Sus scrofa: one gene and its partners. The protein of the gene in region 3 purifies or fractionates together with the protein of the main gene of each other region. This does not show direct contact. Links are inferred from orthologs where the notes say so. Each region holds a gene or a part of one and is shown on either strand. Other genes may lie near its edges.

Evidence for each region.
Region 1: the proteins of dynamin-binding protein (region 3) and BIN3 purify together in Homo sapiens (co-immunoprecipitation; 5 studies listed by BioGRID and IntAct, counting the BioPlex papers as one, with this or other methods). This does not show direct contact. The link is inferred for Sus scrofa from reciprocal best matches to the Homo sapiens genes DNMBP and BIN3.
Region 2: the proteins of dynamin-binding protein (region 3) and DNM2 purify together in Homo sapiens (co-immunoprecipitation; 3 studies listed by BioGRID and IntAct, with this or other methods). This does not show direct contact. The link is inferred for Sus scrofa from reciprocal best matches to the Homo sapiens genes DNMBP and DNM2.

The regions. Positions count from the first base shown.
Region 1 is NC_010456.5:6,874,600-6,878,499, forward strand, and holds part of BIN3 (bridging integrator 3), read right to left. Parts: intron 3,885-3,900; coding exon 3,743-3,884; intron 3,621-3,742; coding exon 3,486-3,620; intron 1,958-3,485; coding exon of another isoform or gene 1,751-1,957; exon of another isoform or gene 1,462-1,750; intron 1,456-1,461; coding exon 1,258-1,455; intron 1,006-1,257; coding exon 981-1,005; intron 757-980; coding exon 683-756; coding exon of another isoform or gene 610-682; 3' UTR 1-609. UniProt on the Homo sapiens protein: Involved in cytokinesis and septation where it has a role in the localization of F-actin.
Region 2 is NC_010444.4:69,522,463-69,526,362, reverse strand, and holds part of DNM2 (dynamin-2), read right to left. Parts: intron 3,308-3,900; coding exon 3,104-3,307; intron 342-3,103; coding exon 243-341; intron 1-242. UniProt on the Homo sapiens protein: Catalyzes the hydrolysis of GTP and utilizes this energy to mediate vesicle scission at plasma membrane during endocytosis and filament remodeling at many actin structures during organization of the actin cytoskeleton.
Region 3 is NC_010456.5:111,164,302-111,168,986, forward strand, and holds the start of dynamin-binding protein, read right to left. Parts: upstream 2,999-4,685; 5' UTR 2,625-2,998; intron 1-2,624. UniProt on the Homo sapiens protein: Plays a critical role as a guanine nucleotide exchange factor (GEF) for CDC42 in several intracellular processes associated with the actin and microtubule cytoskeleton.

The DNA of each region.
Region 1 (3,900 bases), about 100 Mb from region 3:
ACAAACCCCACTGTTCTTGCTTTGAGGCCTGTGAATCAGTCAGTGACATATTGCCTGGTAGGGTATTTACACTCACTGAGCCCTGGTTTCCTAGGGAACCTATAAAACTAGACGCATAGGGCTGAGAGCGCCACTGTCCTGCTGCGGGGCTGGGAGACCACGGCTCTCACTGTTCCCAGGGCAATGTCACAGGCTTCTCCCAGCAAAGGGGAGTCTGAGGTGGAAAGGCAATGAGGGTGGGTGACTCCCCCAGGTGGCCCTTCTGGAGGTAGATGTGACCCCAACTGTGCAAGCCAGGCTAAGACCTCAAGGGAGCAAAGCCCATGCTCTGGCCCTAGGTTTGGATGCACTTTGGACAGTTCCTTAGGAACTAAGACAGTCTACACTGCTTACCTGTCTGGGCTCTTGCTACGGGTGGGGAGACGGCAGCCTGCTTGGGGTTCCTGGTGCCAGGCTCATTCCCAAGGGCTGGGGAGGTGGAGTGGGAGTCGTTGCCATCCCCAAACTTCTCCCAGGGAAGGGCCCTTTGCTGGCTGACGCCCGAGCCTAAGTTTGAGAAGGGCAGACTAGCGGCTGACTCGTGTGCCGGGGGTCCTCTGAGGCCTGGGCTCAGTCATCGGCCACGATGGAGAGGGCCCTGAGCTCGCTCAGCCTGGCCTCGTTCTCCCGCTCCCGCTGCTCGTCAGTGTGGCCAGGCTGGTCGAGCTGCTGGGTCAGGTCTCCAAAGATCTTGTGCATTTCCGAGTAGTACACGACCTGGAATGGGAGGTGAGAGGAGGGTGGCAGGTGCTGGGCTCCGGGGCACCAAGCCCCCCATACCACACCCCTGGGCAGCTGGCCTGCTGCTGTCCCCTCCAGCAGAGCACAGGGCCGAGTGAAGGGGCTGGATTCCACTTTGCCCTCCACCACCACCCTTCCCCTCAGGCCATCTCCCAGACCTGCAGGGCAGCCAAAGCCCCAAGCCCTTCCGGAACACTCACTGCCCACTCCTGGGTGGTGGTATGCCTGCGGGAAGGGAGCAACAGGTCCTCGGTGAGGTGGAGGTGGGGCTCTGCCCTCTGAGCTTAACAAGCAGCTGAGGGGTGAGGGCTGGGGGGGCGGCGATTAGGGAGTCAGGCAGTGTGACGGGGGCTGCTTTACAGAGGCTAGGAGAAGCTTATGGCCACGGGACGGGGGCACTGCAGCTCCCAAAGCCCTGGGAGGCAGTCTTAGATGTAAAGGTGAGGGACTTCCTGTTGTGGCTCAGTGGCAACGAACCTGACTGGTACCCATGAGGTTGCAGGTTTGATCCCTGGCCTCGCTCAGTGGCTTAAGGATCTGGCGTTGCCCTGAGCTGCAGCGTAGGTCACAGGTGCGGCTCAGATCCCCCGTTGCTGTGGCTGTGGTGTAGGCTGACAGCTGCGACTCTGAGTGGACCCCCTTGATTGGGAGCTTCCATATGCCGCATGTGTAGCCCTAAACAGACAGGAGGAAAAAAAAAGAAAAAAAGGTGAGAGAGGTGACATGGTCCTAACCTCTGTGCCTTCCCAACTCATCCCATCGTTCATCACTGCCTAAGCTGCAGAGCCAGGAAAGCAGGGCCCAGAGGCCAGGCTCATTTCCAGGTTTCCTTGTGCGCAGGCACCAGAGGTGGGATGGCGAGGCCCACGGGAGTGAGGCGGCTCGCTGAGCAGGTGCAGGGCAGGGCTTTGCGAGGGCAGGAGCCATTTCTTGCTCAGTCTTTACCTCATGACTAAACAAAAGTGTGCACTTAGAAGAAAGTATTCCACACTATCAAACAAACAGCCCTAGATTTTACCATCTCCAGCTCCAAGTTGTCTCTGGGAAGAAGGAACTTTCCTTCTCTAGAAACTTCGAGTGCTATTAATGGAAAGCAAGGCCATGTCTTCCACACTCGCACAGCTAGGTTTCCACTGGGCTGAAGGGGAGCTGAGTCAAGGTCTCCAAATGTTGTCACCTGAGGGGATGGGGGCTGGGCTGGTGCTGGGGAGGGAAGAGGATGGCCCACCTCCCCCAGCTCTCTGCCCTGAGCTGCACCGCCAGGCTGAGTCACTAGGAATGCTCACTTCTCCAGTGACTAATGGCAGCAGCAGCCACGGGAGGGGGAGGCTGGCATGGATGAAGCAGTAAACAACCCCCCAACCCTCTGCCTGGTTATAGGGCATCCCAGACTCCCAACCTGGGCACCCTGGGGCTTCCTCCTGTGCTCTGAGCAACAGGGTGGAGGGGGCAGGGCAGGTGGCTGGGGGGCTGGGAACAGCACGGTGACAGCACAGAGAGCGAAGGCATGGGTCTCCGTAAACACATTCCCTCCCCAGCCCAGGGTGAAGCTGCTGGAAGGAAGCCCGTACCTCCAGGGGCAGTGCTGTGGGGGCGAGTGTGGGAACATTCCACACCCCTACGCACTAAGCTCTGCCTCGTTTTCCCTGAGACACTGGGGACACGGTCACTAACAAGTCCTAGCTCCAACATCAATCCTGCGAAGGGTTCCTGATCCCAAGTGTGCAGCCCCATGGGTTTTGGTGTTCTCCAGAGACGCAGCTGGGAGCTAGCAATCAGGGTTTTCCTAGAATCTGTGACCGTGGACTCTGCAAGAACGACAGTGTCCACTGGAGGGCGCCAGATACCCAGGCCAAGCGCAGAGGTGGGCTGGAGGTGTATGGGGACGTTGAGCCTTCCAGGTGGGGAAGGCGGCAGGATGCTGCGCACCTGCAGCCCCCTGCCAGAGGGGTGTGGGTGTGGGTCCCATGAGGAGGAGAGACCTCTTGGTTTTGGCACCTCAAGTCTTTCTCTTTTACAAACAGGGAGAGTAGAGTAATCTCTGCTAATGGCTTGAATGGGGTTGGGGGAGGGCAGGAGCGACACCTGACCCCACACTGTCCTTACACCCTGGAGTAGGAGGAGGCAGGGTCTTGGCCTCAGTGCTACTGCTGCGTCCCACCCACGTCCAGCCTCAGCCCAGCCTGCCTTTCCACTGGAAGATGCACTACAGCCTGGTGCCCAGGCGGGGGCGCTGAGCAAGGCTCTCTCCAGGATTTAGGGACCCCCTCCAAGGGGTCTAGTCTTCCATCAAAAGAAAAGGGCTGACTAGGGAAGGGAGCGGGATGCAGGGTCGTCAGAAAAGAGCCGTCACCCTTGGCCCCTGTCCTCATCCTTGACACCAGGCAAAGGGTGAGGTGCTGGGGGCGCAGCTGGTTTTTCCTGCTGCAGAGGGCGAGTGGAAGAGCTCTCCACTCCCATCCTAAGGCTGGGATTTAACCACAGCAGCCAGTAGGAACCAACACAGGAATCCCACCCAACAACCGGGGAGCCCTCAGGGGTGGGTGCTGAGGGCAGGGATGGCGATGTCCTTCGCAGAGGGTGGCAAAGCCACCTCAGGTGTGGGGAGTGGGGCTGGGCAGGCATGAGATGGGTCTTCAAAGCCGGTGACTGTCTCCCCAGGGAAGAGCGGCTGGGCCATCCTGGGGGGCAGGGCAGGGCCTTACCTGTGCGCGGATCAGGGACTCGAAGCTGGGTTGGAAGTAGTCCAGGCGGCTGTTGTAGAACCGTGGCATCTCATCCAGGAGCTGCTTGTTCTTGGCCTCAAAGTCGTCCCGCACGGGCCGGAGCTCTTCCCGGGCCTGGGGGGCAGACCCTGGGTGTCGCAGCTCTTTCTGGCTAGCCCAGCGTCTCCCGGGGAAGGAGGAACTTGCTGCCTGGTACCCCGTGGCCCTGTCCACCCCCAGCCCCTTCTCCCTGGTACCTGGTGGAGCTTGGCCAGCACCGGCCCCGTCTTCTCCTTCTCCTCATACTTCTCCACCTTGGCCTGCAGCCTCCTGTAGTCCTGCAAGGCCTGCTCCCGCCGTTTCACCGCCATGTTGAGGCTCGGGAAGACACTGCCAAACCTGCCAGACACGGCTG
Region 2 (3,900 bases), on a different chromosome or scaffold from region 3:
AAAAAGATACCTAGGTTCACTTGCACAGAAAAAAAGGTTTTACAATAGCACAGAAGAGCAGTTACCTCTGGGCTGTAGGGAAATGGGATGGTGAATATATCTGTGAGCGTTTGCCGAGGTTTCTATTGTTCTATAAACAACAAATAGTTTTCCAGTAGCCAGGGTGCCCCAGCATTCCTGCTGCTCAAGCTCACCCATCTTGCCCACCCTGTGGCCCCCAGGCACACCCCCTACCCCCGCACCTCTTCTCAAGGGGAGCAGCTTGTTCTCCAGGACATCCCTGGCATCAGTGCCTTCGTCCATCAGGTCAAGCTTGGTGATGACGCCAATGGTCCGCAGGCCTGAAAGAGCAGAGGTCAGAGGGCCATGAGGAATGAGCACAGGCTGGTGACCCCGGGCTACCTGGGGTCCAGTTGGGCTTCCCACTTCCAGGCTGTGCCACCTGGGACAAGCCATAACATCGCCTGCCTGGATCCTCATGTCAAATGAGGACATTTGACAATGCACTGATCTCAGGGGGTGGTCCATAAGGATAAACCTGGCACTTGGCAAAAGTTCAATCAATCAACGCTGGCCACTGTCACTGTCGTTGGCACGACCAGGGACGGCATCTGGTTCAGGTATCATCAGAGGGCGACCTGACTAAACACGAACCCCGGCTCAGAGTCTCCATGCTGTGCTGTGCTGAGTGGCGGGCAGGGTGCCAATGGAACATGCGGACCCATGACGACTGTTTCTCGGGATACCTCTCATGTCACTGGCCAAACTTCCGCTCTGGAAACCACCCTGTGGAATTCCTCTTTGTCCCAAGCTGCCCAGAATCAAGGGGAGCCTGAGGATCAACTGTCCTTGCTGATGCTCAAGGGCTCCCCTGTGCTAGTTGCAGGCATACACATGTATCTGTGTGTGACATACACACAGAGGACAGAGAGACCCAGGAGATCTCCAGTGGGTGCTTAGATGGGCGTCGATGGGGAGATGGCCATGCCCTCCCTGGAGCCCGCGCCTGCTCACATTCTGCTGTGAGCGGGCATCACCTTTCTGGAGGGCAAAGGAGCCACGGCTATGAACACCGATGCCTCAGGCTGGGGCAGGAGAGGGGAGAGGCAGCCCAAGGTAGAAGGATGTGACCGGGGAGTGGCTCTGGGGCATCGACTCTGCTGGAAATGGCCAACCTCACTAGAGCATTGTTCCTGAAAGGTCAGAAACAACCCTAATTTCAAGAACAAAGAAAAGGCAGCAGTGGGCAGCCAGGAGGATGGCTACGGGTGTATGTCCCTATGGTAAAAGGTAAGCACACCCACAGAACAGAAAAAGAGGAACCATCACCCTATTTCTACAAATGTTGAGTTTATGTGGAAGAACAAAGTCTGAAAGAAAATTTGCCAAGAATGGCCACCAGTATCTGCAGGGGGAGAGGTGCTGCCACATTTTAGGTTTTCGTATTTTACAATAGTGACATCTGGGAGTAATAATGATGAATATTTTCGAAGTTAGAATGATACTTTTTTCGGAAGAATGCCAGCATCCAGTTCACAAACGGTGCTTGACTGTATGCACCCCCACTTACTCACCGCCTGATCTAGCCTCTATGGAGTCTTTGTCACAGGCACATTCCATTTCCTGGGACAAAACAGGGTGGGGGGACAGGAAGGTTGAGGGGGCTGTGGGCAGGGGTGGCCCCTCTCAGGAAAGCGCACCTAGAAGACCTTGGGAAGGAGCCGGCAGAGCCCTGAACTCTTGAGGGGCTTGCAGTCCAGGGCTGGAAAGGAGCCACCTTTGCCTACTGCTCCCCAGGCCTGCAAATTGGGGAGTGTGAGCCACAGAGCCCGTCTCCCCCAACTCCTTCCAAAACACTATGGGATCCAGGCAGCTGGAAGACAATTTGGGAAATGTATTGCAGTGTGTGTCATCCTCTGCTAAACCCCCACCACTTTCAGAACACACCCAGCTTCCCACTGCAGCCCCCACGGCCTGCTTGACCAGCCGTGGCCACTCCAGGGCCTCAACTCCTCTGCCCTCCCTTTGCTCACTCTGGTCTGGCACACTGGCCTCCCTGTTGTGTCCTGGGCACCTCCTTATTTTGAAAATATTCCTTGACTGCACCCCACAGCATGCGGATGTTTCCGGGCCAGGGATCGAACTGGCACCACAGTGGATGACCCAAGGCACTGCAGTGACTGCACCAGATCCTTAACCCCCTGTGTCACAAAAGAGCTCCTCCTGGGCATCTGTTGAGCATCCACTGCCCATTTTCCCGGATTTTGCCTCTTTTCATCATTCTGGTCTTGTCTAAAACCTCATATCCTCAGAGGCTGGTGACAGCCCCCCTTCCATTCCAGCATCTCTCAAAGGGCTCCATTTCCCTCCAGTGCTTACCACTACCTGGAGAGGCTTATTTCCTTGCTGGATTCTGTCTCACCATGGAATAGCAGCTCACCGGTGGCAGGGCCCTGCCATCAATTTTGTCCCCTATGGGGTTCCCAAGGCTGAAACAAAGCCTGGCCTGCAGCAGGGGCTTAACTGACATTTCCTGAATGAATGACCACTGGCCAAGTTTGACCCAGAACCCCCTGGGACATAGATGCCAGAGTCTGCACTCATTCCTACTGCCCCAACTTATTTCGTGAACTCGTCATCCTCTCTCCCTCATGGCCTGGCCCCTGAGCAGTTACTGAGAGCTCACCTGCCCTCTCAGCAGCTCCACAAGTTAGGACTCCTGTTCCTGTTTCCACAGAAGGGACCCAGCCTCAGGGGGGATAAGTAACTTCTAGAGGATCTGGACTCATATCTGCATCCAGGGAAGGCTGTGCCCTTCCCCACCCAACCCCCCAGACTAGCTTTCTGCCCAAGCGAAGCAGAGATCACCGCATCTAAGGAAGAATGCCAACTGTCACACGATGGATGGCCTCCCGGGGGATGCCCCCCAACTCCTGAACTGTTGGCCCTCCTGAGAAATGCTATGTCCCAGGCCTTTTCCTGAGGAGGTCATGTGCCAAAGAGATCACCTGTGATGTGGAATCAAGAGTACAAGGCAAGTCACAGTGCCCTCAGGGGCTGGGAAGGGGTAGCTCCTGCTATGGGGCCCCATGGGCGTGGGTACCTTGAGGGTCGACCTCCTTGGCCAGCTTGAGGGCGTCCGAGTTGGCCAGGTCCATGTTGGCGGGGGTGACGGCGAGGATGAGGCTGCTCTCCCGGCTGATGAACTGCAGGATCATGTCCTTGATCTGGTACTCGATGTCTGGGGGCTGGTCCCCCACGGGCACCTTGGTGATGCCCGGCAGGTCGATGAGGGTCAGGTTCAACACTGGGAGGGAAACCAGAGTGCAAGGCCATTAGAGCTGGGGGAGGGGAGGCACGCACAGCTCTGAAGGACCTGGCTGCTTCCCCAAGTGCTGGGGGTCAGGCCTCAGGATTTCTTTGGCTGCTCCAATTGGATACCATCTTTTGACCCAATAACTCTCTTCAAGGACCTCATCCTGTAGATGCCCTCTCTGTGAGTACAGGGATTTGAGGGATACAGCTGCTTTTTTAATGAAGTGACTCTATTTTCTTTTTGTATTGATGTATGGGTGACATTAGGTAAGTTACAAATGTACAATATAGTGATTCACCATTTTTAAAGATTATATTCCATTTCTACTTATTATCAGTGATAAGGTGTTTTTTTGTTTTTTGTTTTTTTTGTTTTGCTTTTTAGGGCTGCACCTGCAGCACATAGAGGTTCCCAGGCTAGGGGTCTAATTGGAGCTACAGCTGCTGGCCTATGCCACAGCCACAGCAATGCTGGATGTGAGCCGCGTCTGTGACCCACATCACAGCTCACGGCAATGCCGGATCCTTAACCCACTGAGTGAGGCCAGGGATTGAACCCGCAACCTCATGGTTCCTAGTCAGATT
Region 3 (4,685 bases):
TCCTTCCTCACAGAGCTCTTCTATGATCTGATTTTATGGCTGCTACTTTAGATCTTTCTGCCCTTCCAGGCGAGAGACTGATACAGTCCACTCCTGCCCGCACGACTACGTTATCCAACCTTGAAAATTAGTTTATTCACATGTTTTCCTACGTGAGGCATAATAAAAAATTAATCTTACATTCATGTTTAAAATTTTTCATAATATTCTGCAAATTTTCAGGATGCTTCAGCTGAAGATCAGGCACAATTGAAAATTTCAGAGCAAATCATTTTGTAATAATGCTGTGATATAGGTAATACCTTAACTGACTTTAGAAACAACAGAATAAGAAACCTAGAAAATAATTCAAGACTTATACCTGCCAGCAGGCATTTGTATTCTTGTTTAATTGCTTTTATCATTTAAAAAAAGGTCTCAAGGGAGTTCCCACTGTGGTACAATGGGTTAAGGATCTGGTGTTGCCACAGCTGTGGCACAGGTTGCAGCTGTTGCTCAGATCTAATCCCTGGCCTGGGAACTTCCACAAGCTGAAGGTGCAGCCATTTAAAAAAAAAAAAAAAAAAAAAGGAAGTCTCCAAATTTTAAAAATATCTATGATTTGAAAAAAATCACTTAAGTGTCTGAAATTTGAGAAATCACTTTTCGCTTATTTAAGCCCAACCCTGATCGACTGACTGGGAGGTCTGAGAAGAATTTGAAGATTCACTATGCGTCCTGCAGAAAGGCTTTCCTTCTGAGACAGAGATAAATGAGTTTACTGGCTCTGGAGGCTTCCTGGATAGCAGTCTCCAAGTTTAATGAGGATAAAAATCTAAACACATTCCGCTTAACCTTCTTCAGGGTTTCCACATTGCAATTTATAGCCTCAGAGTCTTGCACTATGTTCACAAAATGAATACCCACCCTTAGTTTTTAAGAGATCCTAAATGGTGATTCAAGAATTATGATTTATCATGTACTTTAAGATGAGAAAAAGTAGTGTAAATTTAACCAGTGCTTGAAAGAGGCTCTGAATTTCGATGTGGATGAAAGACAAACGTGAAAAGGTCTCCAGCAGGTAAGAGGGGCACTAGGAAGGAAGGAGCCAGAAAAGAAGAAACCAGAGGCTTATAAAGGCTCTACTTTGGGGCTTCAAGACAAAATATCTTTTTATGTATTTGGACCGGTTGTCTATGCAGATTATTATCATATCTCAGTGGAAAATACACACAATATGAACACTGTATAAAAGACATCTTATCACATTTTTGAGGCAGAATGTTCTCGGCTTATTGCAAAAGTTATCTATGCACTGCACAGACCTCATTCCCAGGCTAGATTTTAGCTATTCTCCGTTATACACAAAGTACTCCATTCCAGTCTCTGAATTTAGTGAATTTAACACTGAAGTAATTTGAAAAACCTCTTTTCAGTTATGTTAGCTCAACACTGATAAAGGGAGGGTTAACAGTAACAGTGAATTTGAAGATTCACCATGCATGATGCAGAATTTTTTTAAAAAACTTATTTTCTCAAAACTTTGCATTATTGTCACAATGAGTGACGAGTGTTTCAAATTAACATGTAAAATCAGAGAACTTTCGAGGTGGAAGGAAGTGACCCTTTAATTCAGGAATGTAGAGAGAAACAGGTGCTGAGAGATTAAACTAAACTAACTTGCTCATCACCTGGAATCTATTCAGTGCTGTGAGAGCAATAAATGCAGCACCAACTCTGAGAAACTACACCTGTATGCTGGCAGGTACTTCACTCTCCCATATACAACTATGGACTCATCAGTCCTGTAATTTCAGCTATACAAACGGTGGAGCTAAACTACACTCAAACGCTAAATATTAGTGCTACCACTGGCTTGCCACACACCACAGCATCATTGATTATGAAAAGAAAGTGTTTCAACACAAGATGCTCATATTACTATAAAGGAATTACTGCAAAGTAATTTACACCTAAAGACTAATTACTAATATTACAGAATAATGTTGAGTGCCCTTTATTATATAAAGGAGACAGACAATAAGGGATAATGAGATTAAAAGTGGGTTTTTTTCCCCCTTATTTAAAATTTAACTTTATACTCCAAGCATTCTCCATAGCGCCTAATTTGCAGCAGACTTGGTTTGTTTGCACCCCAATATTCCTTTATTCGACAGCATCGACAGCCTTTTCAAGGTTAAATGCTTTGAGAAATTGATGCCTGGTGAACATCAATCAGTACCTGCGGAAGGAATGTAAGGGTACAAAACTCCACCATCACCAAACTTGCATCTCTAGCCAAACAGGTCTTACTCTTGCTTCGGAAACCATCCCCCCTTGCCTCCTAGACACAGAATCACGCACTCCCATACCGACTGAAAGTGACTCTGTGCACGCCAAAAGAATTTCTTCATCTGTAAAATACGGGGGCTGGACTAATACTGGATTTTTGTTGTGGGTTTTTTTTTTTTTTTTTTTTTTTCCCCAGCTCTCAAATTCCGCCTCATTGCCGGAGTGGCAGGGCGGTGCAGTGAAAAGAGCCCTGTGCCTGCTTGACACCATTTACAAAGCCCACGTCTGCATCCCTCGAACCGCCGGCCACCCGGCCTCTCCAACTCCCTGGCGCCTCCCAGGGCCCGACTGACCTGGAGCGAAGGACTCCGACGAGGGCCCGGCGTCCCACCGCCCCTCCGGGGCTCCGGGCTGGGCAGCAGCCGCAGCGGGGCAGGGGCGGCGCAGGCCGGGTCGCGCGGTGCGTCCTTCAGGGCGCGGGTCCCCTCTGTCCGCTGCCCGGGACAGCGACCCGGCTCGGCCCCTGACTTGCTCTCCGCCGCCCGGCGGTTCCTCCGCGCGGCAGGCAGCTGCAGCCGCCCGTCCCGGGCCCGCTGTCACCTCCGCCCCTGAAAGCGGCGGGCGGGTCAATCCGGCGTGACTCAGCGCGGCGGCTCCGCCTCCAGCCTCCCGCCTCGCGCTCAGGCTTCCGCCTCGCGCGGCCCGCGCGGCCGAGCAGCGCCACGCTTCGTCCCCGCGAACCCACCCCAGTGGAGCGCGCCCCGCGCTCGCGCCCCCTGACGGCCCGCATGACCACGCCCTCCTCATGACGTCAGGGGGCGGTGCCCCAGGATCTCTACTCCGGGAAACTGAGGCACCTGGTCGCATGGCGCTGCCCCAGCTGGTGGCGCTCCGCGGCTCGCAGTTCGCAGGGTGTTCAGTTCTACCTACAGCTCCCGCTGATCGAAAGTTCCTTTCCTCCCTTTCTGATCCCACACCCGCCACACTCCCCGTCCAACCTAGAAATGGGTCAAAGTCTCTTTTAGAGAAGGTCCATTCAATTCCTGTCTGGTGCGGTCTTCTATGCTGCCCGGAGGCAGTTTACTTTATCTTGTCACAAATAATTGGCGTTCACTTCGGTCTGTTCATTTTTTTTTCCTGAGGGAAGTGTCTGAGGACATTCTCTGCTCTTAAAGAGAGTTTAAGAGCAGAGAATAACAGAATGCAAGAACTGAAAGCATGAATTTAACTTTTTCCTGAATCCAGGTAGGAGTCTTTTTGTGCATTAATGGCCGCAAAGTCACCCTGCTTGGTCTGTTGCTTGAATTTCTGTGCCTGGTTTCTGGGATCTACCAGGGAGATGCCGAAGAATGCACAAGTCTATCACTGTGAATGCAAAACAGGTAAACTTCCACAGACGGTCCCCACTTAAAATTGTTGGACCTAAGATTTTTCCACTTTACCGTAGGCATTCAGTAGAAACTGCACTTGGAATCTTGAATTTTGATCTTTTCCAGGAGTGGTGATAGGCTCTACAATACTCACTCCTAACGCTGGGCAGCGACAGTGAGGCAGCTCTCAGTCAGCCGGGATCAGGAGGGTAAACCGCCAATACGGTTGCAACCGTTCTGTATGCATACAACCATTGCTTTTCACTTTCAGTACGGTATTCAATAAATTACATGAGGAGTTCCCGTTGTAGCTCAGAGGGTAAGAACCCGACATAGTGTCCATGAGGTTGTGAGTTTGATCCCTAGCCTCGCTCAGTGGGTTAAGGGTCTGGCGTTGCTGCAGGCTGTGTAGCCTAGTCAGGTCGAAGATGCAGCCTGGATCCTGCTTTGTGGCTGTGGTATAGGCCTGCAGCTGCAGCTCAGAGTCGACCTCTAGCCTGGGAACGTCCATATGCTGCAGGTGCGGACATAAAAAGAAAAAAAAAGAAGCATGCATTTCATTTTATTTTCCCCCCTGGGGCTGCTCCGGAGGCATGTGGAGGTTCCCAGGCTAGGGGTCTAATCGGAGCTATAGCTGCCGGCCTACGCCAGAGCCACAGCAATGCGGGATCTGAGCCACATTTGCAACCTATACCACAGCTCGCGGCAACCTATACCACAGCTTGCGGCAACGCCGGATCCTTAACCCACTGAGCAAGGGCAGGGATCGAACCCCCAACCTCATGGTTCCTAGTTGGATTCGTTAACCACTGAGCCACGACGGGAACGCCCCTACATTTCATGAAAACTTAGGATGTTTTAATGTATACCCAACCCAACCAAGACCTGTTTCTTCTACCTAAAAATGTCAGTTTCAGAATGATCTGATTACTGAATCTGAATCTTTGGAGATGTGTTCTTTAGCGAGTACACAAAAGTTTAAGAACCACTGCCACCCTAAAAAGACCAAAAAAAAAAAAAAAAAAGAAGAAGAAGAAGAACCAC